Linked DNA regions of Macaca fascicularis. The main gene of each other region encodes a partner of the protein of the gene in region 5 in a complex. Links are inferred from orthologs where the notes say so. Each region holds a gene or a part of one and is shown on either strand. Other genes may lie near its edges.

Region 1 (4,270 bases), on a different chromosome or scaffold from region 5:
ACCATAGGTCTTAGAACTCTACAATCTCTATATTTTTTCCTTACAACTCTAAGATGTTTGATTTTTTAAAACTAATTTAAAGGAAGCACATAACACAGAATGCAATCTCCACATATTTTAAGTGTACAGTTCAGCAGTGTTAAGCATATTCACATTGTGCAACAGATCTTCAAAGCTTTTTTCATCTTGCAAAATAGAAACTCTATGCCCCCTAAACAACTCCCCATTTTCCCCTTTCCCAGCTCCTGGCAACCACCATTCTACTTTCTGTTTCTATGAGTTTGACTACTTCAGATACCTCATATAAGTGGAATCATGCAGTATTTGTGTCTTGTGACTGGCTTATTTCACTTAGTATGTCCTCAAGATTCATCCACATTGTTTTATGTGACAGGATTTCCTTCCTTTTTAAGGCTGCATAAAGATATTATGTATATGCATGTATACGTTATGTATATGCATATACATTATGTATACTGCATGTATATGACACATTTCCTTTACCCACTCAACCCGACATTCATTACTTGATGGAAAAAGAGTTCCTTCCCTACCACGTTTAGTTTTTTAAAAAAACCACCTCCTGACTCTTGGCTTTTAAAACTCTTGGTTTTACCGCTAACACGGTAAAACCCCGTCTCTACTAAAAATACCAAAAAAAATTAGCCCGGCGCGGTGGTGGGCGCCTGTAGTCCCAACCACTCCGGAGGCTGAGGCCGGACATTCCTTGAACCCGGGAGGCGGAGCTTGCAGTGAGTGGCGATCGCGCCACTGCACTCCAGCCTGGGCGACAGAGCGAGACTCCGTCTCAAAATAATAATAATAATAATAAGCCAGGCTAGCCAAGCATGGTGGCAGGCGCCTGTAATCCCAGTTACTTCGAAGGCTGAGGCAGGAGAATTGCTCGAACCCGGGAGGCTGAGGCTGCAGTGAGCCGAGATCATGCTACTGCACTCCAGCCTGGGTGACAGGGTGAGACTCCATCTCAAAAAGAGAAAAAAAAGAAAGGAAAATAAATGTATATACCCTGCGCGCTGGCTCACACCTGTAAACCTACCACTTTGGGAGGCAGAGGCAGAAGGATAGCGTGAGGACAGCAGTTCGAGATCAGCCTAGACAACATGGAGAAACCCTGCGTCTACTAAAAATACAAAAATTAGCCCAGCGTGGTGGCACGTGCCTGTAATTCCAGCTACTCGGGAGGCTGAGGCAGGAGAATTGCTTGAACCTGGGAGGCAGAGGTTGCAGCGAGCCGGGATCGCATCACTGCACTCCAGCCTGGGAGGCAGAGCAAGACCCCATCTCAAAAACAAAAAATTAAAAAATAAAATAAAATAGAGAAATTATATATAACCACACGTATAACACGCAACCCTTGCTTTTAAGCATATCTAATTGGGAAGGAAGGACAGCAATATTAAGCATGTAACTTCATTACTAACCTTCTAATATATGTCTAATATCATAAAATGAATTAGGTTGTGCTTAAGTAGTAGCACTAAGTAGTTTAAGCACCTAAGACTGGCTTAGAATCATTAGATGTTTAACTCTGGGGACATTACGTAACTATTTGAAGTCTCTATTTCCAAATCTGTAAAATGGTGTATTTAACAGCAACTACTCCAAAGGGCAACTGAATGAGATAAGCACAATAATAAGCGTAAAGCTGGGATATAGTATGTGCTCAGTAAGCATAGCTTTCATTATAATTTATCACAGCGTTTCTGAAATGATTTGATTTACAAAGCAGATTTAGACAACTTTTCGAGAATATCAGTCCTGTGGAAAATAGAACCAATACTTTAAAAAGTGACTGTAAAGAAACAGAAAATGCACCCAGGAAAGAGTCCTTTTAAGTGAGATTCTTACAAGCATTTATCACACAAATGTACTCTTAATCTTGCCCGCGAAGTTCTGAGCATCTCAACCGAGGCATTAACATTCTAAGCGCCAAATTCTTTCCCCGGACTGCTCTGCCCATGAAGGACTTTCTGCATCCTTGCTCCGCCTACTATGCGACAGCAGCGTACCCCAGGAAATATGACAATCAAAATGCACTCACTCATTCAGACACCACTGGAGGGCGGTACCGCCCGAATTGAGAATCACCAAAAGAGGATCCACCCCAAATCTTCCAGAGTTCCTTTACTACCTTCTAGATTCAATTCCACCCCGAAAATCTACAGCTCCAAAGGTACAAGAATATCCAGGGCCTAACCACACCCGCAGAGTTAGGAGACGTCCGCTGAAGCCCCGCCACCCTCTTCCTGACCACCTTTCAGATGGCCGACTTCATCATCGGGAGTATTCGCTGCCTGCAAGATCTCCCACCCTCTAAGAACACCGGCGCCTACTTTCAGCCTCTGCTCGTGGCTGGAAAATATCTCGGGTCCTTTGGCTTCACTGCTGAAGACCTGACGCTATTCCGGCGAAATCTGGACCACAGACGCACAGTGGAACTTGGGGGTAAGGGGGCCAGGCTTAGCCCTGGGCTGTGAGAGATTAAACACCTGGGTCCAGCGGCCCAAGCCTCACTGCCTCGACTCTCAAACGCCAACTCAAGGGCTAGAGCCGCAGCACCGACGCGCGCCATTCAAACTGGGGAGGGGTGAGACTCTAGGCCCAGAATTAGGGAAAAGGAGGCACCGCACATAAGTTGGGTCCTAGACTCCGAGAAACCCCACGGTCTCGTCTCTCCCTGAAGACCTGGTCATCGCTCAGCTCAATCATCTCCTTTCTGTCTGGCCACACTTACCCGAATTTACCGCCAAAGGCGTCGCCATCTTAGAGGCGCACTAACAGAGCCCTTCTGCCGCATGGAGGCCCCAGGAAGGGGTGAGGCTGCCCTGAGTGAAGCCTGAACAAAAAGGCACCAGGCTGTCCCCTCCACGCTGGGCCGTCCCAGGCGTACAGAAGGCTCCAGAATCTGCTCTGGGTCACAAGTATCAATTTTCATTGGGATTATTCCCATTCAAATAAGGCAAGGGCAACCACTTCAGAGACACGAGGTCCTCGATCGGACGTTCATCGTGTAGTGCATCCTGGGACTTGTAGTTTCTTTCTAATGATGAATTGGTTAAGTGGAGAGGAAAAAGTAAAGTGGAATAGAAAAAGATATTCTGAGAGTAGTTATTAAAATGACGCCCACTTATGAGATTATAAAAGCCGTAAATTCAAATCATTAGCTCCGTTTCAAGTTCAATCTTCCTTACAGTGGGGAGTGGAGTAAGGTGTGAAGTGTCTACACCTCAAAAAGTCATTGACCAGTTAAAAACTAAGTTTCCGTGACATTTCAATTTACCAAGTATGTTGTGTCAACATAGTTGCGTAGAGCGAAACAAATCATAATTTTTAACTATAAAATTTTCAAATGGATACAAAATTAGCATAGTGAACAGGCAGCATCAATAACGTGGCCAATTTCCCACCACGGCAGCCCCAACCCACCCTTACCACCCCAGCACCTTATCCTCCCCACCCCCCGCCCCCGATTATTTTGAAACAAATTCCAGACATATCGTTTCATAATCACCAAGTATGTTTCTACCTGAGCAACCAAAGTAGCTGAACTCTCTTTCCTCAGTTGTTAAATTTTAGTTTACTGATTTTCAAACTAAAATATAATCATTGCTATTTACAGCTATGTATTAAGAATTTTACAGCCATTATTTCATTTAATCTCTGCAAACCATTCTATTGGGAAAATGATCTGATTATAGCTATGTCAGCGATGTTCCATGTGCCTTACAATCTCATTGTATCAACTCTCCATCATTCCCATTTCACTGTTGGAAATTAGAATCAAATAATTTAGACAAAAGCACAGAGTATGTTAACAATATCCAGAACTGGCTGGGTGCGATGGCTCATGCCTGTAATACCAGCACTTTGGGAGGCCAAGGTGGGCGGATCACTTAAGGTCAGGTGTTTGAGACCAGCCTGGGCAGCATGGTGAAACCCCGTCTCTACTAAAAATATAAAAATTAGCCAGGCGTGGCGGCACGCACCTGTAACCCCCAGCTGTTCGGGAGGCTGAGGCAGGAGAATCCCTTGAACCTCGGAGGTGGAGGTTGCAGTGAGCTGAGATCATACCACTGCACTCCAGCCTAGGCAACAGAGTGAGTGAGACTCCATTTCAAACAAACAAACAAAAAAGAATATCCAGAACAGAATATTTATTATTTTGGACAAATAATATCAAGTGACACAATGTACATTAAGTTTGAAACACAAAAGTCACTGGTGATTTTTTTCCAGAAGTCATTGTTAT
Region 2 (3,500 bases), on a different chromosome or scaffold from region 5:
ACCAAGAAGAGTTCCAGTTCAATGTCTGCTGAATCTAGAATCTTCTGACTTGTTTTTTGGCCCAGCACACAACCTTGGATGCAGGGTGCAGCAGTGTTTGCAAACCTCACACCCCATTTCCAGAATAGCAGGCAGAGGCTCTGGAGCTTTGATTACTCCAGGGCCCCCAACAAGCAAGATGGGGCCTGGGTAAGGAGTTGACAGTGACCTTAGTACAGGACAAACAGCTCATTTGGGGCTATGGTTGCCCAGGGGGGTCACCTTCATCGTAGCTGGTCTTCCCAACTCCACAGCGTTCTTTCGTTTTCAGTAGAGGGCTACTTCGGAGCTGATAATTAGGCCTTTCCTGCCTTGAATGTTGAGGTTGCCCGCCTGCTCTGCGTCTCAGCTGCTCACTCAGAATCCTTCAGAGAGAGAGAGAGTGTGTGTGTGTGTGTGTGTGTGTGTGTGTGTGTGTGTGAGAGAGAGAGATCTAAGACCTAACTGTATGGTTCAGGCCTGCTGGGCCCTGCGGGGAGACCGTGGTGGCCTTGTGCAGCACTAGGTCTGGTCTCCGTCACTTGAGTTGTATTGTGGGCAGAGGCCCTCAGTGCTTGCTGCCTTCCAGCCTGGGAGGCTGCTGGATCCTTTGGGAAGACACCGGGCACCGTCTCAGCCCTTCCTTCCACTGGCGGGTGACTTTCATGCAGGCTAAGGCTTTGGTTCCCTTAGCCTGGGTCCCCTATAGCCTTTTCACTGGCTTCTCTAATGGTTTTGACATAACCATCAGCTATAAATCTGGGTAGCAACAGCTGTTTTGAGAAGCTGAGGTGTCCTTTCCCCTGGGCCAGCCCACTCCCCATTTTTTTCCCCAGCTTTATTGAGGTGTGATTAACAAAGTAGTATGTATTTAAGGTATACAACTTTTTTTGTTTGTTTGTTTTAAAGACAGTGTCTTGTCCTGTCGCTCAGGCTGGAGTGCAGTGGTGCGATCTCAGCTCACTGCAACCTCTGCCTCCTGGGCTCAAGCCATCTTCTGCCTCAGCCTTCTGAGTAGCTGGGACCACAGGCACTCGCCACCACGCCCAGCTAACTTTTGTATTTTTGGTGGAGATGGGGTTTTGCCATGTTGGCCAGGCTGGTCTCAAACTCCTGAGCTCGAGTGATCCATCCACCTCGGCCTCCCAAAATGTTGGGATTACAGGAGTGAGCCACTGTGCCCAGCCAAGGTGTACAACATGTTTTGATAGACGTGTACATTGTGAAATTAAGCTAGTGAGCACATCCGTCACCTCACATAGTGACCCTTTTGGTGTGCGTGTGGTGAGAACATTCAAAAGCTGCTTTCTGGCTGGGTGTGGCAGCGCATGCCTGTAACCTCAGCTACTGGGGAGGCTGAGGCATGAGAATTGCTTGAACCCGGGAGGTAGAGGTTGCAGTGAGTCGAGATCTCACCAGTGCACTCCCACCTGGGTGACAGAGCAAGACTCCGTCTCAACTACTTTCTGAGCAATTTTTTTTTTTTTTTTTTTTTTTTGAGATATGCTTGTGCTCTCTCACCCAAGTTGGAGTGCAGTGGTGTGATCTCGGCCTATTGCAGCCTCTGCTTCCCAGGCTCAAGCAATCCTCCCACCCCAGCTTCTCGAGTAGCTGGGATTACAGGTGTGTTCCACCACACCTGGCTAATTTTTATATTTTTAGAGATGGGGTTTTGCCATTTTGCCCAGGCTAGTCTTTTTTTTTTTTTTTTTTTTTTTTTTTTTTTTGAGACGGAGTCTGGCTCTGTCGCCCGGGCTGGAGTGCAGTGGCCGGATCTCAGCTCACTGCAAACTCCGCCCCCCGGGTTTACGCCATTCTCCTGCCTCAGCCTCCCGAGTAGCTGGGACTACAGGCGCCCGCCGCCTCGCCCGGCTAGTTTTTTGTATTTTTTAGTAGAGACGGGGTTTCACCGTGTTCGCCAGGATGGTCTCGATCTCCTGACCTAGTGATCCGCCCGTCTCGGCCTCCCAAAGTGCTGGGATTACAGGCTTGAGCCACCGCGCCCGGCCAGGCTAGTCTTAAATTCTTGGGCTCAGGTGATCCGCCTGCCTTGGCCTCCCAAAGTACTGGGATCATGGGCATGAGCTACCATCACACCCGGCCCCATCTCTCTGAGGGATAGGACATGTGGGGTTCTTGCTCACCCCCGCTCTTGTGGGACACGGCCTCTGCCCTGACTCTCCTTCTTGCTTTGGTATCTGAATCTGCAGCATCGCCCTGAGCAACTGGTGGTTTGTGGCCCACCTGACAGACCTGCTGGACCACTGCAAGCTCCTCCAGTCACACAACCTCTAGTAAGTGGCCTGGACGCACCAATCCTCCTCCTCTTACCACCGAGCCCTCGAGGGTGGGGTGAACTGAATGCCTGGAAGGGAGGTTGGGCTGAGGAAGGGGGCCCTGAACAGGGCAGGCCCGGAGTCTTGGTCTTTTGGTATGTTTTATTCCAGTTTCGGTTCCAACATGAGAGAGTTCCTCCTGCTGGAGTACGCCTCTGGACTGTTCGCTCATCCCAGGTAGGAAGGCTCCCACGGGTGCAGGCTGTGCCGTGTGCTCTTCAGCATGCGGGTGCCACTGGAGCTTGGACTGTTCTCTCCAGGTTGGCTCCCTGCAGGCTACAGAAGGGTCAGTGAAAGGGAGCTGCAGGTGCCAGTCCCCAGAGCCACGAGGCAGCACCTCATGTCTGTCTTCCTTGAACCTTTGCAGCCTGTGGCAGCTGGGGGTGGATTACTTTGATTACTGCCCCAAGCTGGGCCGAGTCTCCCTGGAGCTGCACATTGAGCGGATACCTCTGAACACTGAGCAGAAAGCCCTCAAGGTGCTGCGGATCTGTGAGCAGCGGCAGATGACTGAACAAGGTGAGCTGGCCCTGCTCCCAGCCTTACCATCTGTGGGACGTGGGAGTTGGGACCCTGAGGTCACACTTTGTGCCTACCCCAGCCATTCTCCTCCTCACGAGCCACACTGGAGAGAGGTGGGGCTGTGGACGCCAAGAGGTAAACTAAGAGATGGGATAATTATTTGGGAGGGACAGGAAAGCTAGGGATCCTCTGGAACCGAGACAAAATCTACACACCACCTGGAAAGGCGTGAGCCGCCCCTTTTCTCACACACTTGATTCCACGAGGTCAGGGCTGGGGTCGGCGCTATTTCCCTGTCCAGGTGGGTTGCTATTGCTATCTCAGCCAGGCTCAATGGGGAAGCAGTGCTGGAGGTGGCTCCAGAAAAGCAGAGAGAGTGGAATGAAGATGACCAAGTCTGCCCCTTCCTTTCTCCCCTCACTGTTGAGTGATGTAAACATGAGTTACTACCCTGCAGAGAGACAGTTGGCATGTTCACGACCATTTCTGAAAGCATATGGTATTCATGATCCACAGGAAGATAGGATTTGAGGCATCTGGAGAGGTAATAGAAGAGCTGACACGTAGGGAGAAACAAAAATCTTTTGCTACCCTTGAAGCCACACACACTCACGGAGCCAGTCC
Region 3 (4,045 bases), on a different chromosome or scaffold from region 5:
CTAGGCTCACTGCAACCTCTGCCTCCCGGGTTCAAGTGATTCTCCTGCCTCAGCCTCCCGAGTAGCTGGGATTACAGGCGTGCATTACCATGCCCGGCTAATTTTTTGTATCTCACTGTTTCACCATGTTGGCCAGGCGGGTCTGGAACTCCTTACCTCGTGATCTGCCCACCTCGGCCTCCCAGAGTGCTAGGATTACAGGCGTGAGCCACTGCGCCCGGCTAATTTTTCTGTTTTTCGTAGAGGCCGGGTTTCACCATGTTGGCCAGGCTGGTCTTGAACTCCTGACCTCAAGTGATCCTCAAGTCTTGGACTCCCAAAGTGCTGGGATTACAGGCGTGAGCCACCACACCCGACCTTGGTGTATAGTTTTCTTCAGGCACGTTCAGCTACAGATTTGAATGTAATCGAAGTTGTTTTTACTGATGAAGAGTTAGGCAATGAAGTAATTTAATGGTATTCAGGATAAGGAAGAAACACCAAAGAAGTGAGGGACAGTGAAGAGCTTGTATAACAATGGATTTCAGGTAGAATGAGGGGGCTGCACTGCCAAAGTTGGTGTCCCAGAGGGAGTGAAGTGGAAAGATAGGAAATGATGGTCGGAACCAGATAAATGAAACGGAGAATGACAGGGAATGGCTGTGGTCACTGGTAATAGAAGTGACCAACAAGCGTTGGCTATCACTAAGGAACAAAACCTTCCCTGCTGGAGATTAGCATTTTCCCCGATTTTGAACATCTACCCCCACAATATCTTCTAAACATCCACTATGGGCCCTTATTGCATTGACAGCCAAGTGCAAGATCACGGTTGGAATGAATGGCAAATTCTTTTCACGTATCCAAGTGAGTAGCACTCAGGTAACCTCAGCAGGTGGCAGCATCAAGGTTTACCACATTACGTTTCATTATACAGGAATACACGAATACAGTCTCTTGGGGGGAAAAAAGACCAAAACCAAAGGCCCTTCCCTCACTACCCCTTCCTCACCCCGCCAACCCAAGTGCCACTGAAGAGCGAAGGGAGGATCGGCAAAGATTTACAGACGGACACCCTAACCGAGGGAGAGGTGACCAAACACCCGGGATCCGGCAGAGGACGCCCAAAGGCCGGACCTCCCCGGACCTCGCCCCTCCTGGGAGACTGAGCCCCGCGTTTTGGAAACAGAAACAAACCCGGTCCCGCCCCCTGCCCTGCGGCCGCTGAGAAAAGGGCACCGCCCTCCGGAGGCGTTCCAGCCGGCCACTCGAAGATTCCAGCAGATACAGTCGGCCTCCCCTGCCCGCTTCTCTTCTGGATTCCCCGCTGCCCATCCTCATTCTCCCGGTGGAAGCCCCGCAACGAAGGACCGGAGCCCCCTTTCTGCTCCCGGGATGCTTCACCCGTCCGCAGCTCCGCCCGCCCCGCCCCCGGAAGTGACGGCGGCCGCGCGGCCCTGCCTTTGTCCCGTCGGGCATCGCGGCGACGGCGGGAAGATGGCGGCGGCGGGATCCCTGGAACGAAGCTTCGTGGAGCTAAGCGGGGCTGAGCGCGAAAGGCCGAGGCACTTTCGGGAATTCACAGTCTGCAGCATTGGTACGGAAGTGGCCAGGGAGGGCGCGATCCGATCTGTCCCCTCGGGCTCCTCTCATGGGTCCTAGGGTCTCTGACTGCTGGGTTCATCCTCCTGAGTCCACATGCCTCCAGCCCCGGGATCAGAGATTCCTTGATGTCCGACGTTTTCCTCTTTTCTTTGTATGGGTTGTCAGTCTGTCACCCTCTGCTTTATCAGGTCCCTTAGTCCCTGTCATTTCTCAGAAGACGCGTGTGCAGGCTGACCACGTTCATTTTGCAGGGACCGCAAATGCCGTGGCTGGCGCCGTAAAATACAGTGAGAGCGCGGGAGGCTTTTACTATGTGGAGAGTGGCAAGTTGTTCTCCGTAACCAGAAACAGGTTCATTCATTGGTAAGTGCTGTGGTTCGCCAAACTCCCCTGGAAGGTAGGGTTTGGTGTGTAAATTTTAGTTGCTGTTCCCAAAGTGCTATTCTAGAAGCGGTAATCGACACTTAGGGAAAGAGAAAGTTTTTTTTTTTCAGTTCGTATCAGAGTCGGGAAAACTGAGACACAGTTCTAGAAGAGTTTACCCTCCCCCCCCACCAATACACACACACACACCAAGCAACACCAAAAGCAGAGGGAATGTAGCTTAGGGGTATAAAGCCCATAAGACTAGTTTTAAACATGAACCCATTATGTTTTTATAGTGCTTTACAGCTTCCTTCATTGAACAAATATGTTCGAGCTTCAATATGTCAGGCATTGTGCTAGGTACCAGGACGAAATGAACAAAACTGCCATCTTCATCATGCAAGACGTTGTAGCAATGTCAGAATAGTTGTGGACTCACTTTTCATGGGGAAATTTTGTGGAGGAAAACTTGCCCTAGAGGAAAAATACAGGGGTTACGAGAGGCTAATGAGAGGACCAAATGTTATTAGTGGGGCAGGAAAAGGCTTTCACAGTTACCCTGAGGTCTAAAGGACACGAGGTTAGCCAGGTATGGGGAGTGGACAGAGAGGAGTCCAGCAAGCAGGATCACCATATGCAAAGGTCACAAAGTGGAAAGAATGTGGCAGGTTTGGAACTGACCAAAGATCTGTGTGGCTTAAGTGCAGTGGGTAAAACAGAAAGTAATGTGAGATACTGAGGCTGGAGAGGTAGGCAGGACTCGGACCATGAGGGACCCTTAGGCCATTTTTAAGGATTTTTGGATTTTATCCTAAGTACATTGAGTAATAATGGAATAGGTTTTTAAAGAGTTACTAACATCAAAATTGCATTTTTGGATGGGAACAGTTAACACTGGGGATTCCAAAAGGAGCGGGGGAGCAGAGGTTGGAAAACCTATCAGTTACTGTGTTCACAACTTGGGCGGCAGGATCATTAGAAGCCCAAACCTCATGTAGATAGGAATATATACACAATATACTCATGTAACAAAGCTGCACATGTACCCCTGAATCTAAATTTTTTAAAATGTATTTTTAGAAGATCTCAGTCTACTTTGTGGAAAGTGGATTTGGATTAGATGGGTATAATGCAAAAAAAAGTTTGCTTTTATGATGGCCCAAGTAAGGGTTGCTGGTGGTTCAATTGTGGGAATGAATAGAAATAGAAAAGTAGATGGATTCAAGATACCTTTGGAAGATAGATTCACTAGGACTTGGTGGTGGATTGAATATGGGGTAAGGGATGGTAAAAGAAAAGGAGAGAACAAGGACAGCTCCCTGGTGTCTCATGTGACTAACCAGATGTGAGTGGGGAGGGGTTGCCATTTACAGAGATCCATAGAAGATGGATTTTGGAAAGATATGAATAATTCTGTTGGACATAGTAAATTTGAAGTACCTGGGGAGCAGCCCTTTGGAAATGTCAAGTAGGCATTGAAATTTACAGGTCTAAGGCTCAAAAGAGAGACTTTATGTTAGAGATACAAATTTCATTTAGTTAAATATTTTGGCTGGGCACAGTGGCTCACACCTGTAATCCCAGCACTTTGGGGGGCTGAGGTGGGAGGATCTCTTGAGGCCAGGAGTTCAAGACCCCATTTCTACAATTTTTTTTCTTTTTTCTTTCTGTTTTTTTTTCTTTTCTTTTTGAGAGACAGTCTGGTGGCTCCATTGTCCAGGCTGGAGTGCAGTGGTGCAATCATGGCTCACTGCAGTCTCCGCCTCCTGGGTTCAAGTGACCCTCCCACCTCAGCCTCCCAAGTAGCTGCAATTACAGGTATGCGCCACCATGCCCAGCTGATTTTTCTATTTGTTTTTGTAGAGATGGGGTTTTGCCTGGTTGCCCAGGCTGGTCTTGGACTGCCGAACTCAAGCAGTGCCCCATTCTCGGCCTCCCAACTTGCTGGGATTACAGGCGGAGCCACCATGGCCGGCCTGATTTTTAAAAATTAGCCAGGCGGGGTGGCATGTGCCTTTCATCTTAACCACTCAGGAGGCTGAGGCGGGAGGATCTGATCATGCCACTGCACTCCAGCTTGGGAAACAGGGTAAGA
Region 4 (3,986 bases), on a different chromosome or scaffold from region 5:
AGAAAAGCTGGCAATTTCTATATACCTGTGAAATCCAAATTGTCACTTGCCTTAAGGTATCAATGGTGTGAGCCCAAAAGTCTGTCAAAACCTCTTCACTTTCCCCAGATCTTCCATGGCACCTCTGCTAAACTCAAGGCTTCAGTTAACATGCTGACTATTGTGGAACCATACATCGCATAGAGTACCTGAACCTGAAATCAATAAATGAACTGATCTACAAATTGGTTATGGCAAAACCAATAAACAAATTACCTTAACAGATAACTCTTTGATTGATAGATTTCTTGATAAATATGGCATCATCTGACTGGAGAATCTGATTCATGAGATCTATGCTGTTGAAAAACTCTTCAAGTTCCTGTGATCCTTCAAATTATCTTCTCCACGAGGGAGAATGACTACCTATTCTGTATTACTAAAAAGTACAAATGCCAGCAACAGAAAAGACCATATCAACAGGCTTATTAAACGGATAAACTGAAGCATCTAACGTTATTTTTGTAATCTGGTCAGTTAATAGCCAGTCGCTACTTTCAAACTGGAAAAAACAAAAACAGAAACAAAAATGTGACTGACTCCTTCAAGACCAAAATATACCACTTTTTGCCTAGACGGCACTTTGAAATAGAGGGCAATACCATCATGTTTTACGCTTGCCTTTCTACTTTTTAATACAGGTGAACTGTTTCTCCTTAATAGAAAAGAATACCAAGTAAAGAACAAATAGCAGTTATGGAAAACAGTTTCAAAAACTGCAGGGGGCTAGAGAACAAAGGACTGAGTGTAGGGAGAGAGATAAGAGATTCCCGAGGTGTGGGGCAGAGCCCACGCATCTGAATTCCAAGAACAGGCGCTTTCTGACAGAGAATACCAGGAAATGACTTCACGTTTTTCCAGACTATCAACATGCTTCATTTTTCCCAGTAGGAGAACCCAGGGCCTGTTCCACGCCCACAGACGTTGGTCAGGCAAAGCGGCCGCAAGGCGTCTGGGCTAAACGCAACCAGGTCCCGCCCCCGGCCCTGTCTGGTCCAGCCAGGCACACATTGGCAAGCTTTTGCGCCTGCGCCCACCGGGCCGGCACCTGTAGGCTGAAGTCGCCCATGCGCTAGATGGGAACGTCGTTTCTTCTCCCCTACCCCTTTTCTGTGGGGCTATTTTAGGGAGAGACTGCTTCCGGGTCGAAGGGCTTGCTTCCGGAGAGCGGGAAGGCTAAAACGCGGTAGCTAAACTGGAGCCGACATTTATTCTGTGTGGAAAAGGCTTTAGCCATGGACAGGTCAGTTCTGAGGATGGCAGCTGAACCCAAAGCCTTGCCCCTCTCGCCTGTTGGCGAAACGAAATAGGTGAAACTAGACTCCCAGAAGAAGCCAAGGAGGTCCCGGGTGCTTCCCCTAAGACTCCTTCCCCATGCCGGGAAATTTGGCTACAAATGGGGAAAGGCCGCTTGGCCTGCGTCGGGTGGGGTACGGATCATAATGGTCCCCTACATTCCCACTACGTTCTGCGATCTATTCGGCGCTTTGGGGCAGCAACACTGATCGCTCCTGGGGTGGGCGGGGTAGGTAGCCCGGCGTTCGAAATGCTAAGTGACCAGCCTGTGATCACAAAGCCAGTCAGTGAAGATACTGGGATCTCAGCTCAGACTTTCTGATTACGTGCTAGCATCAGATACTGAGTTCCCTCTGTGATCTGGGTACTGTGCTAGCCGCCTGCAACAAAGATCAGTTATTCAAGATCCTTCACCTCGGGGAATTAGTTGTGTAGTGGAGACAACCAAGCGGTATAAAGTGATAAGTGTTTGGGGGCGATTAAGTCTCCCTGTCACTCTATCAGAAAGACCTCTCAAAGAAGGTAACTTTCTAGCTGGTCTTTGCATAATAATAGTACATTATTCGTACTCCAAACATTGAGTACCTACTATATGACTGCCATTGTTGGCTTTGAATATATATTATCAGTTTATTTAATCTTCAGAACAAGAGCAATCCTATGAGGATAGGTACTGTTATCCCTTTTTCATATATAATACTGAGACTAAAAGAGGTTAAGGAATTTGCTGAAAGTTAGGAAGCTAATAAATACAAGAACCAAATTGCCAACCTGCCTCTGTGTGTCTCCAGCCTACCTGAGGCTCTTTGAGGAGTAATTAGTTGTTGACCAGGTGCCCAAGGGGGCAAATGTAGGTCTTTGTAAAAGAAACATATTCAAAGGTGCTAGTATATGAAAAACAAAAGTACATGTAGCTCAGTGGTCACATGCAGTATATGTTTAGAGTGATGTTTGTGGCTGAATAGAAGACTGAACGCCTAAACTGGGGTCACATTGTAAATATCATTTTAGGAAATTTGCACTTCTATAAACCAGAGAGAGCTATCTGTAGGTTTTTTGTTTGTTTTGTTTTTTAATTTTAATTATTAAACATTTAAAATTTTTTCTATGGGGTTGTTTCCCATACTTTCCTGCTGAAGGAATATCTGAAGGTTTTAAGTGGAGGAAAAGCATATTAGATTCTTGTCTTAAACACAGGCCTTTTAGTCCACACAATTTAGTTTCTAGACCTTTGAGTGAAACTGACAGAGTGTTGTGATGGGACAGGAGACCTCTTTGGTTGAAATAACTTGAAGGGTCATTTTGCTACAATTTACCAGAATTTTTTTACTTACTCTTCTATCTCACAAGCTCTGTTTGTTGTTGTGGTTGTATCTCACAAGCTCTGGTTGTTGTTGTTGTCTGGTGGTGGTTGTTGTCTGGTTGTTGTTGTTTGTTTTTTAATAGTACCCATGGTTTAAAGCATTTTGGATTCTGCAGAAAATCTTTGAAGAGAGAATTCCTGCAATTAGGTAACTTCTCAATCCAACCAGGGAAATAAGATTCACTTTTATGAAGCAATTACCTAAAACAGTGTTATAATATAGATTCCAAGTGTTGAAATAATTCTTTAGGAGAAAATAACATAGTGAGTACTAGAAAGTCAGAGAAATCTTTGTGCAGGTAACATTTGAGTAAGACTTTGAAGAATAAGCAGGATTTGGAGCCACGAGTGCATTCTCAGCAAAAGATCCAAGACTTGGCTACTGGAATGACCTATATCTTAACTTACTCAGGGTCCTTTACTCCAGCTGTGATGATAAAATTCTTTACAAATGCTATATTCTTGTTTCACTTATATAAGCTTGATTATACTACTTTAGGAGTGGCTTTGGAGATATATCATCCCCTGTAATCCGGGAGGCAGAGGTGACACGGACTGCACGGAAACAGAGTGCTCAAAAAAGAGTTTTAAGTATCCTTTGCGATTTAAGCATCATTATAAAAATTGTAACATGTTTGGAATCAGTGTTATAGAATTTTCTTTTTATAAGAGTATTAAATGTTAGCTATAATAAAATCCTGTAGAAATTTTTTTCACTCCACAGAGCTGTCATTAGGTAAATATAATGCAAAAATTTAATAAGATTATATTTCCTTAAAAATAAAGATATTTCTTACTGCTGACTATCATATTGTGGTTAGCTTCTGCTGAGATTTTTATTATTTGAAAACTGACTAAAAACATTTAGTTCAGTGTGTAGCTATCTAAGACTGACGTCTGAGAATTTAAATGGCAGAAGGAATGGGTTATTTACCCTTTGCATTGAAAAATGGTAGCCGTAAAATACCTTGTTCTTGAAAAATGTATTCACATAATTTGTATAGTAAAAAGATGGTTAATTCTCATTTTAATCTTTTCTACATGGAAAACTTTTCTTAACTCATTGTACAGTTCAGGCATCTCAAGATGAAAGTTTCGGTAATACTACACCAAGAAACCAGGTTATCCCTCGAACTCCTAGCTCATTTCGACAGCCTTGTAAGACTTTTTTGCTTTTAAAGCATTTAATAATAATGATAATTATAATAGCAACTAACATTTATTGTAACATGATAAGTATAGTATTTGGTTACAATATCAATAAACACTAATAATAATGATTGCAGTT
Region 5 (3,500 bases):
ATCTGAAACCATATTTTTAAGTGGTGAATTTGTTTATAATTTACCTCCTCCATCATAGGGCACTCTCAATGCGATCAAAGATCTTATCTGCCTTATTCACTGCTGTATCCCAATGCCTGGAAGCATTCCACTAATGCCATTAAGAGAATGAACGGGTGAACAACATCTTGGACTTAGGTTTCTTTCTCTTTTTTTTTTCTTTTCTTTTGCATAGGTAGACAGGTCAGAGAGAGAGAGAGTCAGATAGGTTTCCTTGGGGGAAAGAGGATGGTGAGATTTTTGAGAGCTACAATTCAAGAACTGCTGCCTAACTAGGGCCTAAAAGGCAGGTGACATAAAGCTTATACCCTGGGGAATTAACCATTCTCAAAGACAGGTGAGCCTTTAAGTGTGTTATGGAGTCTTAGGAGTCCAAAACCACTATGCCACAGCAACAGTAGCCACAAACCTGCCCCTTCCAGGCTCAAAGCTCCAGGCATGTGGGCAGTCTGGCACTAGGAAACAAATCTCACAGATGTAGGAGGTGCTTGGAACAAGGAGGCATCTATCAAGCTGAAGTTGTTCATGAAGTCAAAAAAAAAAAGTTAATCTAAAAAAAAAGTTAATCTGGATACCCCAAGGAATCAATACCAAGTCCTTATGATACAGTATGATGGTGTCAAACCACAAAAAAGCCAAGAACAATGCATTTCTTCCAGATGTTATCTCTCTCTCAAAACCAACTCCCAGTAGACAGAGTACAGAGACAATGGTCTTTGTTCTTTTTCTAAGACCAAGAAATGCAGTTTCTTTTTTTTTTTTTTTTTTTTTTTTTTTTTTGAGACGGAGTCTCGCTCTGTCGCCCAGGCTGGAGTGCAGTGGCCAGATCTCAGCTCACTGCAAGCTCCGCCTCCCGGGTTCCCGCCATTCTCCTGCCTCAGCCTCCCGAGTAGCTGGGACTACAGGCGCCCGCCACCTCGCCCGGCTAGTTTTTTGTATTTTTTAGTAGAGACGGAGTTTCACCGGGTTAGCCAGGATGGTCTCGATCTCCTGACCTCATGATCCGCCCGTCTCAGCCTCCCAAAGTGCTGGGATTACAGGCTTGAGCCACCGCGCCCGGCCGAAATGCAGTTTCTAGAACCAATGACAAACTGCTTTTTAGAGAAGGTACTGCTGCAGCTGTCACAGCTTCCTGCTGACTAGTCAACAAGTACTTATTGACCTAGCGTCTACAAGGTACACAGCACAAGAAGGCAGTTATGCCTTTGTATAAGAGGCATTTGCAGCCAGGGAGCAGTTAAGACCCAGCCAAGGCCCAAGGGAGGTACAGGAGGCTTCAGGAACTCTGAAAGGATTTCAGATCACTTCTCTGCACTCCTCTTAATGGTCTCTTGGACCCAACACCCTCAAATACCCCACAGCCCCAATTTATCAGCATAGAACCTATTACAGTTTAGCTTTCAGGGATAAACCCTGATTAATTCTTTCTCACAAGGAGCTATATCTGCTAGGTATCTCAACACATCATTGGTAAGGTATCAAAGTGAAAACTCTCCCCAAAAGGGTCTTACATGAGTGGTGGCAATGATGAGAAGCATCCTCCAGGCGGACACCAGCATCTGGTACTCTAACAAGGAGGTGCAGCTGCTGCCTTCTGTTTCGGCCACGTGAACTGCCAATGACTTGACATACCCTGACCAGTAGGCAAAGCGTTTCTCGATGGAAAATTTCTTGAGTGTATCTTTTAATGACTGGTCTAATGAACCCCTACAGTGTCAAGAAAAAAACCTCCAGTTAGGTTTTGAAAGTAGATGGGAATATAATGGGTACAGACCCTTGTTGAGGCAGAGAAAACAACCTCGCATGGGCTTAAAGGCAGACCAGCTCCAGGACACCTCCAATGTGTGGGTTAGGCTGAGGCCTTTCCAGGATTCCTCCTCCATAAAATCTGAGTTGCATGGAGTTTGTTTCACAATAACTCTTTCTGACAATCATAAATGCCATCGGTGGATTGGCCAGGGACACAGCACACTAGCCTCCATGAATGGTTCCAAACCAGTTCTCTCCTCTGCCTTGGCTCTTTCCAGCCATGCACCCAGTGGTAGGTCACCAACTCCTACTCCTCCAACCTTCAGTTAAAATCTCAAGAGGGGAAAGTACTCACTTAACTACATAGTATATCTCCAAGCAAATTATCTTCATGATGAGGGCACAGGTTTCCAGGATGCTGGGCTGTGGAGAGAGAGAGCAGAACAGGCAATGATCACATCTCTGATCACTAATCTCCCCCAGTATATCCAACGGTGAACAGAGCAGAAGCCCAACACTTGCAGAACAAGTTAGTACAACCCCTGTTGAATGTGAATGGCCTGACTTGCAAGAGCAGAAGCGTCAGGTCCACAATGTCTCCAACTGAACAGAGAAGACCACAGAGCCACCAACGCAAACCACTTTCCTTCCCAAAGCAAGACATCAAAGGGACAGAAACCAGGCACTTCCCTGAGAAAGACGTTTCTAGTGAAGAGAACATTCTGTTGTTTAATTAGGGGAGGTATCATTGTCTACGGCCCCATCTCACAGCCCATAGCCTTTCCTCCCAGGGACTTGTAGCCACCATCCTGCCCTCTTCCACAGCTTACCTCTGATGTTTCAGAGGGAGGAGAAAGGGTTCCAAACAGTGGACTGGTTAAATTTTCCCAAAACTTGGGTCTAAAAAGGAAATAAATGTTTGAAATCATACTTTTTCCCTCTCACAGTCCTTTTCTCCTCTCTCAAGCTCCCTTTGGTGGTCACTTCATATTTTACCAGTCTCAATCCTAATATGTGTCTGATAAGTCAGTTAGTCCTGTATAAATGAAAGGTTTCCATAGATAAAATTACATTTTCCTCTTATGAATCACACTTGTGCACTATAGAGTTGATCAACAAAAACTCTTCAAGATTCCTTGCACTGTAGATTCCCAAAAGCCCCACAGAAGAGGAGGGAGGGAAATAAGACGGCAGACTCCCAATTAGCCTTTTAACACTCCTTCCCTTTGTGCCAGCAGGTCCAATAGAACAGAATGTTTCATTCCATCCAGTGACTTCAGCAAGCCCCTCTCTCCTGAATCTACTGTTTCTCAAGAATAATGAGTTTTGATGTAGCTAGTTAGCAAAAGGCAGGAACACAAAAGCAGTTGAACCTTCAAGGTGCTTAATATTTAAAGATCCTTAATGCTGGCAGCAGCATTAGAAAGAGAATTAGTATAAAACTCCCAGGTATTGAACCAGGCACTAAGCACTTATTCCCAGTGAACCGTCGCAACAAACCTCTGGTATAAGAGCTATTGTTACTCCCATTTTATAGACCAGAACAATGAAACTACTCCCAGAGGCAGACTTACTTGGTTCGGAGGACCAGCATGGCACTGTCCCTCCGGTCCTGCCACAGAGCATGCAAAAAGGCAATGGCGGCACGATGCAGCAGGGGTGGGCACCAGTATCGATCTTGCTGTTGGGAATCAATCAGCTCCAGCACTGCA
Region 6 (4,052 bases), on a different chromosome or scaffold from region 5:
GGCCATAAGAGTGAAGCCCTCATGAATGGAATTAGAGCCCTTATAAAAGAAATATTGGAGAGATCCCCTCACCCTTCTTCTGTGTGTGGTTACAGGGAGAAGAGTGCTATATTAGTCTGTTCTCATGCTGCTGTGAAGAAATACCTGAGACCAGGTCATTTAAAAAGAAACGAGGTTTAATTGACTCACAGTTCCGCGTGGTTGGGGAGTCCTCAGGAAACTTACAATTATGGTGGAAGGCACCTGCTCACAGGGCGGCAAGAGAGACAGTGAGTGCAAGCAGGTGAAATGCCAGACGCTTATGAAACCACCAGATCCCATGAGACTTACTATCGCGAGAACAGCATGCCAGAAACTGCCCCCCATGATCTGGTTACCTCCACCTGGTCTCACCCTTGACATGTGGAGATTATGGGGATTATAATTCAAGGTGAGATTTGGGTGAGGACACAGAGCCAAACCATATCAAGTGCTATTTATGAATTAGGAGGCAGGCCCTCAGCAGACACTGAATCTGCGGGTGCTTTAATCTAGGGCTTCCCAGCTTCTAGAACTGTGAGAAATAAATTTCTGTTGTGTGTAAGCCATCCAGTCTATGGATGAGTCTGACCCCACTTGTCCCTGCTCACCATCTTCCAGCCACACACCCCTTCTTTCTAGTCTCCAAACACTAAGCTGGCTTCCCCTGGAGACTTCACTCTTGTTCCCTCTGCTTGGAATTCTTTGAAGCCGGAACTTTGCAAGCCCCATCCTTTCTCATCCTTCTTTATTCAGCTCAACATGTCACCACCTCAGAAAGGCCTCCCTTCAACATCCAAGCATTCTCTCTCCCATTACCCTGTTTTTTCTTCATAGCTCTTCTTGTGAACTGCAGTTACTTATTTATTATATTTTGTTTCCCCTGCCAGCCTGGGAACTCAGTGAGGGCAGCGATCTTGTCTGTCGTGGTCGCCACTGTGTTCCCAGCTCCTAGACTAGGGCTTGGCCCTTGGATGGCGCTCAAGGAGTAAGAAATTCCTTTAACTTAGGGAATTCTGGAATCGCTTTCTCCCGGCAGAGCCGACTCTAACCAAGTGGGAAAGGTGAGGTCTGCGGCTGCCTGTGGTCCAGGGGTGACGGTTTGGCCCAAGGCCCTGCCTTCGTCCCGCCCCCGGCCCCGCCCCTGTTCTTGTCCTTCCCCACGGGTCTCCATAAAGTTCATTTGGCGGCGCGCCGCGCGAGGGCTTCTGGGAGCAGCCGGCCTTGGCCAATCAGGAAGCGGGGTAGAGCGGCGCGAGAAGCGGCAGCCGCGTCCTCAAGCCGGCACCTGAGCGGCGGAGACGGCTGTAGTACAAGGTAAGGGTGTGTCTGGTCGCGTTCTTCCGACCCTGGGCTTGTCCTTGAACCCAGGACCCCGTGACTGGGTGGAGCGCCGTACCCACGCTCGGAGCCCCGCAGCTCACACTTCCCGTTCTCCTCATGGCAGCCGGGCACGCCTGACGCCGGCGACACAACGCGTTGTCGAGCCGCCCCAGAAAGAGTCGGGCTGCACCCCTGGGTGTGCCTTTCATTCGCCCACTTTCTGAATGCAGAACCTAGGCCTCCCGACTCCCCCTTCCCCACTGTGGCGCCCTCGCGCCACGCCCCTGCCCTCACCTCCACCTAGTGCCCCGCGAGCCCACCCTTCCTAAGCCTGCGCCACAATGCCTGCCTGCTTACCTTCCTGACCGTGCCCTGCCTGCTCGCCTACCCCTCGTGGACATACCCTCTAGAGAGGCATTGCCCTGCGAGGGAAGGGGTCTTTGGGGCGAGTGCAACTTCTCCCAACCCTTGGCTTACCTTTTGTACATCCAAGAGGATGCTAGTGGTTGGAACCCAGGGGTGGCCCACCCTTCTCTGTGCTTACTCCATCCCGTCCTCTGCAAAGGGGAAGCCCAAGTTCACTGGCTGTCTTTTGGAAAAATTATGGGGCCGGCCCCATGGGTCCTTGGTGAAAGTGTGAAAGACCCGTTGACAGAGTCTCTGGTCTGGGTTTGCCCTTCTGCTAGACGTGAGAAGGAGGTTTTATTTATTTAATCTTTGTTTTGACCGAGTTGTCTTTCAGCAAAAGCGAGGATCACCTTTTTGTATTCTTTCCGGGGGATGTGGGAGGGTATCCTCGGTCATCCTAGCTTTTCTTCTTTATTTTTTTTCTTTAAATCTTCCTTTGTGCATTTGTGTTTGCAATATTTTTATTTTCATTGATGGTGATCTCATAGCATTAAATACCTACATATCAGAGGCTAACAGGTTCCTTATTTATATCTCCATCGCTGGCCTCACCCCTGACCTTTATCCAGCCACCCACTTAATATCTCCGCTGAGATGGATGATAGGCAACTCAAATTAAACATGCCAAGAGAGGGCTAGGAAGCTCCCCTTCATTACCCTCCCCAAACTGCTCCTGTTGCCCTTTCTTTCATCTCAATAATAGGAAAGACTCTGGCTAATAACCTTTGAGCCATCGTTGACTGCTCTCTTTCTTTTTGTTTTCTTTCTTTTTTTTTTTTTTTCTTTTGAGACAGTCTCCCTCGGTTGCTCAGGCTGTAGTGCAGTGGTGCGATCTCGTGTCATCGTGTCACTGCAACCTCTGCTTCCCAGGCTCAAGTGATGCTCCTGCCTCGGACTCCCAAGTAGCTGGGACTACAGGCGTGTGCCACCTCGCCTGGCTAAGTTTTGTATTTTTAGTAGAGACGGGATTTCACCATGTTGGCCAGGCTGGTCTCGAACTCCTGGCCTCAAGTGATCTGCCGTTTCAGCCTCCCACGAAAGTGTTGAAATTACAGGTGTGGGCCACCACACCCAGCCCTCTGTGATTAACGCCACAAATAGTACTTGCCACCCTGGGCCAAGTCACCACCTCTGGTTTGGATTATTGAAATCGTTTCCCATTTGGTCTTCCTGCTTCTGTCCTGGCCCCTATTTTTTGCACAGCAGCTAGAGGGATCTTTTTAAAACACAGGCTGTCAGATTGTATCATTCCTTTACTTAAAAAAAAAAAAAATCCCTCCAATGGGTCCCCATCTCATTAATATGATAGACTAACCCCTTTACAGTGAGCTATAAGGCTTTACATAATCTGACCCACTGTTACTTTCTCAGTCTCATTTTCTGCTCCCTCTCCTTTCACACGTTAGACATGCTTTGGCCTAGGGCCTTTGTGCTTGCAAGTTAATATCCATGTAGTTTGCACTCACTTCTTCCAGGTCTTTACTAGGGAGGTACCTAGTGAGGCTTTCCCCATTTCCCACCTCCCTTCATTGCTTTAGTTGTTCTTAGCACTTATATTTTATGTATTTTTCTTGTGTATTGTTGTCCTCCCCCTGTAGAATGTGAGGAGATTTTTATCTGTTTTGTTCCCTGATGTGTTCCTAGCACCTAGGTCTGGCACACAGTAGGTGCTCAAAAAATATGAACTAGATGAATGTTACTGGCACTCTGGCAGGCATGGGGATGCAGTGGTGAATGAGACAGGCCTGCCCTCATTGAACTGATATGCCTATGGAGGGTACCACTAGCAATAAAAGCACAGATAGGAAGTGTGATGTCAGGGCTGTTTCTTAAAGGAGGACAGGGATATTTGAATAGAGACCTGCTTGAAATGAATGAGCAAGTCATTGAACTATCTGAGAGCACTGCTGGTAGGGGGTAGAGCAAGTGCAAAGCCCCTGCAGTGTGAGCAGCTGGAGATGTAGTGAGTCTGAGGGTCTGAACCAGCTTCTTGATGGACTAACATAGAAAATAAGGTTAATGGATGTGCCAAGGAGAGGGACAGGTTGGAGCAAAGATCTGAAGGTGAGAGGGGTCACTCCTCATGAAAAAGTTTATTTAAAGAATATGGAGTTAGAAGGAAGATCTTTCACAAGGTGTGTTCAGGGAACAGGCCACTTTAATTCAACAAACATGTATCTGGTACCTATTATGTGCCAGACTTAATGCTGAAGACTCAAGAGTTGAGCATCTGTGGACCTTACCATATAGGAAATTTGCCGCTAGAGAGGGAGACATATGTGTGATGAAATAATCACAACTAC
Region 7 (2,915 bases), on a different chromosome or scaffold from region 5:
CTTATTTAGTTTCTGTCAGTTTCATGAGAGCAAATAATTTGTCTTGCTCTTGATCCTCCTGCTGCCTGCACCCAGCTTTTTTGGTGTTTTAGAAAAGGCTAGGCCAGGCGCGGTGGCTCAAGCCTGTAATCCCAGCACTTTGGGAGGCCGAGACGGGCGGATCACGAGGTCAGGAGATCGAGACCATCCTGGCTAACACAGTGAAACCCCGTCTCTACTAAAAATACAAAAACTTAGCCGGGCGAGGTGGCAGGCGCCTGTAGTCCCAGCTACTTGGGAGGCTGAGGCAGGAGAATGGCGTGAACCCGGGAGGCAGAGCTTGCAGTGAGCTGAGATCCCGCCACTGCACTCCAGCCTGGGTGACAGAGCGAGACTCCGTCTCAAAAAAAAAAAAAAAAAAAGAAAAGGCTATAAACTTGGAGTCAGGGGACCTAAATTAAATGTTGGTTCAGGCTGCATTTTTTACTTCCTGTGTGCTCTTAAGAAGTCATACCATCTCTCTGAACCCAGTTTATCTTGATTTTTGGTGCTGTATTATTAAAGCTTGCTGTATTATTAAAGCTTGCTGTATCGTTCGGGATCTCAAGACTTTCCTAGTCCAAGGCTGTGTACACTATGTTACCTTCCTCTTTATTACTGCATAATTAGTGCCTTGTCCTCCACTAGATGGTGGTGGCTTGACCCTGTGTCATCTTCTTGGATTTTCCCCTCCCTCACCTCACTGTTGTTTCAAGGTTTTGTATAGAGTCTATAGGTGGTGTTGAGTGATAGGAACTCCCCTTGGATTAATTGACTTCTCTGCTTCTTTGTAGGTGGATTGCTCAGGTTATGACCTGGAGCAGTTACACATCAAAGTGACTTCACTGTGCAGTCGCATAGAGCAGATTCAGTGTTACAATGCTAAAGATCGCCTAGCTCAGTCAGGTAAGCCTCTAATCTCCTCACTTTTTCTGCCTTCTTGCTTCCTGTTTTTATCTTACACCCCACCCTCAGTGCCTGCCACCGTTCTCTAGACCCATGCTCAGTGCTTAACTCTAGTTTTTCTCTCTAGACATGGCCAAACGTGTAGCCAACCTGCTGCGGGTGGTGCTGAGTCTGCATCATGCTCCTGATAGAACCTCCGACTCAACACCAGACCCTCAGCGAGTCCCTTTGCGCCTCTTGGCTCCCCACATTGGCCGGCTCCCCATGCCTGAGGACTATGCCATGGACGAACTGCGCAGCCTTACCCAGTCCTATCTGCGAGAACTCGCTGTTGGGAGCCTGTGAGCCCCAGACTCTTTGCATCACACTCACATGCCCGTTCACACTCACCACACAGAGGTTCCCTGCCTTGTTTGGATTGGCACTGTTTGCCATTCTCTGGGTTGGCTATGGCATCTGCCCTCCTTCCCTGCTGCCACAAGCAGCATCCTCCAGTTGTTCAGGGCTTTTCTTAATACTAAACATAGCATAAGGGCTTCTGGAACCCAGAAGAGGAGACAATTCTCTTTTTACCATCCTCAAGACCAGTGTTTTTCCTTTTAATAAATGGTCAATAAAGCTCCTTTGGCAGAATCCCCCAAAGAACCAGGGAATCCTTTTTCACCCCTAGCCATTCTGGATCTTGTGACCCTCCATGCCAACCAGCTACCCTACTCCTACCCTGGCCCTTTTATGCTAGGACTCCTTAGGAGGAGTGAGACAGGTAGTAATGGATCCTTAACAGGTGAACTATCCACAGAAGGAAGAGGGATCCGTCTCTTAAGTAATTGGTTAGTTAACACTGAATTTTGGAGGCAGAGGAGGGTTGGCCTGAGTTAGGAAACAGAATGGGATCTTTCTGACACACTTAGGGCAGAAGTGAATGCCTGCCATGGAGGGATTGATCTTCAGAGCTTCTTTTGTTCCTGCCTTTAGTGTTCCATGAACACCATACCTTTGCTACTACTATGTGCAGGAGCCCTTGGTCATATGTGACATGTCTATGGGAAGCTCCCAGAATTTGGTTTGGTCCCTGGTTTTCAGTCATCTTGCTGAGAGTCTGTCTGGATTTGCCTGAAGAGTTTGGATTAAAAATGGCAGGTTGGGTAACCCTCCCTGTTCATCCCATGTTAGCTCTAAAGCATTTTCCACCCTCCATCATCCCTTCCAGAAGCAAACCATGACTGAGGCAGGCATGGAGTTGGGCGTTAGGGGCAGGCAGAGGGCCTTTGCTACACTGCTGACAGCTATAGGGAGCCCCAGGTAATGGCATGAGATAGCTGGTGTTAGGGCTGTCTCAGGCAATATGGCCACACCTGGGTCTTTATGCATGAAGATTATGTAAAGGTTTTTATTAAAAAATATATATATGTATAAATAAATGATCTAGATATTTTCCTCTTTTTCTGAAGTTACTTTCTTAAAAAATAAATAAATAAAATGTTTATAGCATTCCTGGTATTGGCTTTCCCTTTGTATTTTTGAGCCTTCTTGCCCTGAGGATCTTTATGATGGCCTTGTTTGATTTAGCCTGTTTTTGAATTTGCCTTCTAAATGGAGACAGGCCTTGGGTTAAAGAGAGAACTATTTGGTGCTAAACTGAGAGATAGATTAGCCCAAAGGCTAGATTTATAAGGGGAGATTTAGGGGCAAGGGAGTTGATTATTGATTAATACTGATTGCTGTACATATATTTATACATATAGATTTCCAGGTCTCAAATTGCCCAATAGAATATACCATTCAAAGCCTCCTCGCTCTTCTACTGTAGTGGTTTTGTTTTTAAACCTTGAGTGACGCTTCACCTTTCTAAGTCGGATTCCCTTTTGTAAAGGGGATAATGATCCCTGATGTTACTTCACACAGGGCTGTTTTCAAGAGGAATCAATTGAGTAGCATGAGTACTATTCCAGATCTTATTTTGATTTGTCAAGCTGAAGATATGAGCAAAT

What was found.
Region 1: NUP188 (region 5) and NUP205 share a complex: the UniProt entries of both Homo sapiens proteins name them as parts of the nuclear pore complex. The link is inferred for Macaca fascicularis from reciprocal best matches to the Homo sapiens genes NUP188 and NUP205.
Region 2: NUP188 (region 5) and NUP85 share a complex: the UniProt entries of both Homo sapiens proteins name them as parts of the nuclear pore complex. The link is inferred for Macaca fascicularis from reciprocal best matches to the Homo sapiens genes NUP188 and NUP85.
Region 3: NUP188 (region 5) and NUP160 share a complex: the UniProt entries of both Homo sapiens proteins name them as parts of the nuclear pore complex. The link is inferred for Macaca fascicularis from reciprocal best matches to the Homo sapiens genes NUP188 and NUP160.
Region 4: NUP188 (region 5) and NUP107 share a complex: the UniProt entries of both Homo sapiens proteins name them as parts of the nuclear pore complex. The link is inferred for Macaca fascicularis from reciprocal best matches to the Homo sapiens genes NUP188 and NUP107.
Region 6: NUP188 (region 5) and NUP93 share a complex: the UniProt entries of both Homo sapiens proteins name them as parts of the nuclear pore complex. The link is inferred for Macaca fascicularis from reciprocal best matches to the Homo sapiens genes NUP188 and NUP93.
Region 7: NUP188 (region 5) and NUP98 share a complex: the UniProt entries of both Homo sapiens proteins name them as parts of the nuclear pore complex. The link is inferred for Macaca fascicularis from reciprocal best matches to the Homo sapiens genes NUP188 and NUP98.

Annotation. Positions count from the first base shown.
Region 1 is NC_088377.1:177,231,740-177,236,009, reverse strand, and holds the start of NUP205 (nuclear pore complex protein Nup205), read right to left. Parts: upstream 2,801-4,270; 5' UTR 2,784-2,800; coding exon 2,756-2,783; intron 1-2,755. UniProt on the Homo sapiens protein: Plays a role in the nuclear pore complex (NPC) assembly and/or maintenance. May anchor NUP62 and other nucleoporins, but not NUP153 and TPR, to the NPC.
Region 2 is NC_088390.1:81,621,188-81,624,687, forward strand, and holds part of NUP85 (nuclear pore complex protein Nup85), read left to right. Parts: intron 1-2,228; coding exon 2,229-2,312; intron 2,313-2,438; exon of another isoform or gene 2,439-2,465; coding exon 2,466-2,531; coding exon of another isoform or gene 2,532-2,630; intron 2,631-2,721; coding exon 2,722-2,873; intron 2,874-3,500. UniProt on the Homo sapiens protein: Essential component of the nuclear pore complex (NPC) that seems to be required for NPC assembly and maintenance. As part of the NPC Nup107-160 subcomplex plays a role in RNA export and in tethering NUP96/Nup98 and NUP153 to the nucleus.
Region 3 is NC_088388.1:17,983,618-17,987,662, forward strand, and holds the start of NUP160 (nuclear pore complex protein Nup160), read left to right. Parts: upstream 1-1,245; 5' UTR 1,246-1,374; coding exon 1,375-1,576; intron 1,577-1,835; coding exon 1,836-1,947; intron 1,948-4,045. UniProt on the Homo sapiens protein: Functions as a component of the nuclear pore complex (NPC). Involved in poly(A)+ RNA transport.
Region 4 is NC_088385.1:75,448,107-75,452,092, forward strand, and holds the start of NUP107 (nuclear pore complex protein Nup107), read left to right. Parts: upstream 1-1,186; 5' UTR 1,187-1,274; coding exon 1,275-1,282; intron 1,283-3,197; coding exon 3,198-3,289; intron 3,290-3,769; coding exon 3,770-3,856; intron 3,857-3,986. UniProt on the Homo sapiens protein: Plays a role in the nuclear pore complex (NPC) assembly and/or maintenance. Required for the assembly of peripheral proteins into the NPC. May anchor NUP62 to the NPC. Involved in nephrogenesis.
Region 5 is NC_088389.1:14,949,179-14,952,678, forward strand, and holds part of NUP188 (nucleoporin NUP188), read right to left. Parts: coding exon 3,363-3,500; intron 2,689-3,362; coding exon 2,619-2,688; intron 2,212-2,618; coding exon 2,144-2,211; intron 1,747-2,143; coding exon 1,551-1,746; intron 1-1,550. UniProt on the Homo sapiens protein: Component of the nuclear pore complex (NPC), a complex required for the trafficking across the nuclear envelope. Required for proper protein transport into the nucleus.
Region 6 is NC_088394.1:52,837,994-52,842,045, forward strand, and holds the start of NUP93 (nuclear pore complex protein Nup93), read left to right. Parts: upstream 1-1,252; 5' UTR 1,253-1,335; intron 1,336-4,052. UniProt on the Homo sapiens protein: Plays a role in the nuclear pore complex (NPC) assembly and/or maintenance. May anchor nucleoporins, but not NUP153 and TPR, to the NPC. During renal development, regulates podocyte migration and proliferation through SMAD4 signaling.
Region 7 is NC_088388.1:70,596,318-70,599,232, forward strand, and holds the end of NUP98 (nuclear pore complex protein Nup98-Nup96), read left to right. Parts: intron 1-812; coding exon 813-924; intron 925-1,051; coding exon 1,052-1,269; 3' UTR 1,270-2,415; downstream 2,416-2,915. UniProt on the Homo sapiens protein: Plays a role in the nuclear pore complex (NPC) assembly and/or maintenance. NUP98 and NUP96 are involved in the bidirectional transport across the NPC. May anchor NUP153 and TPR to the NPC.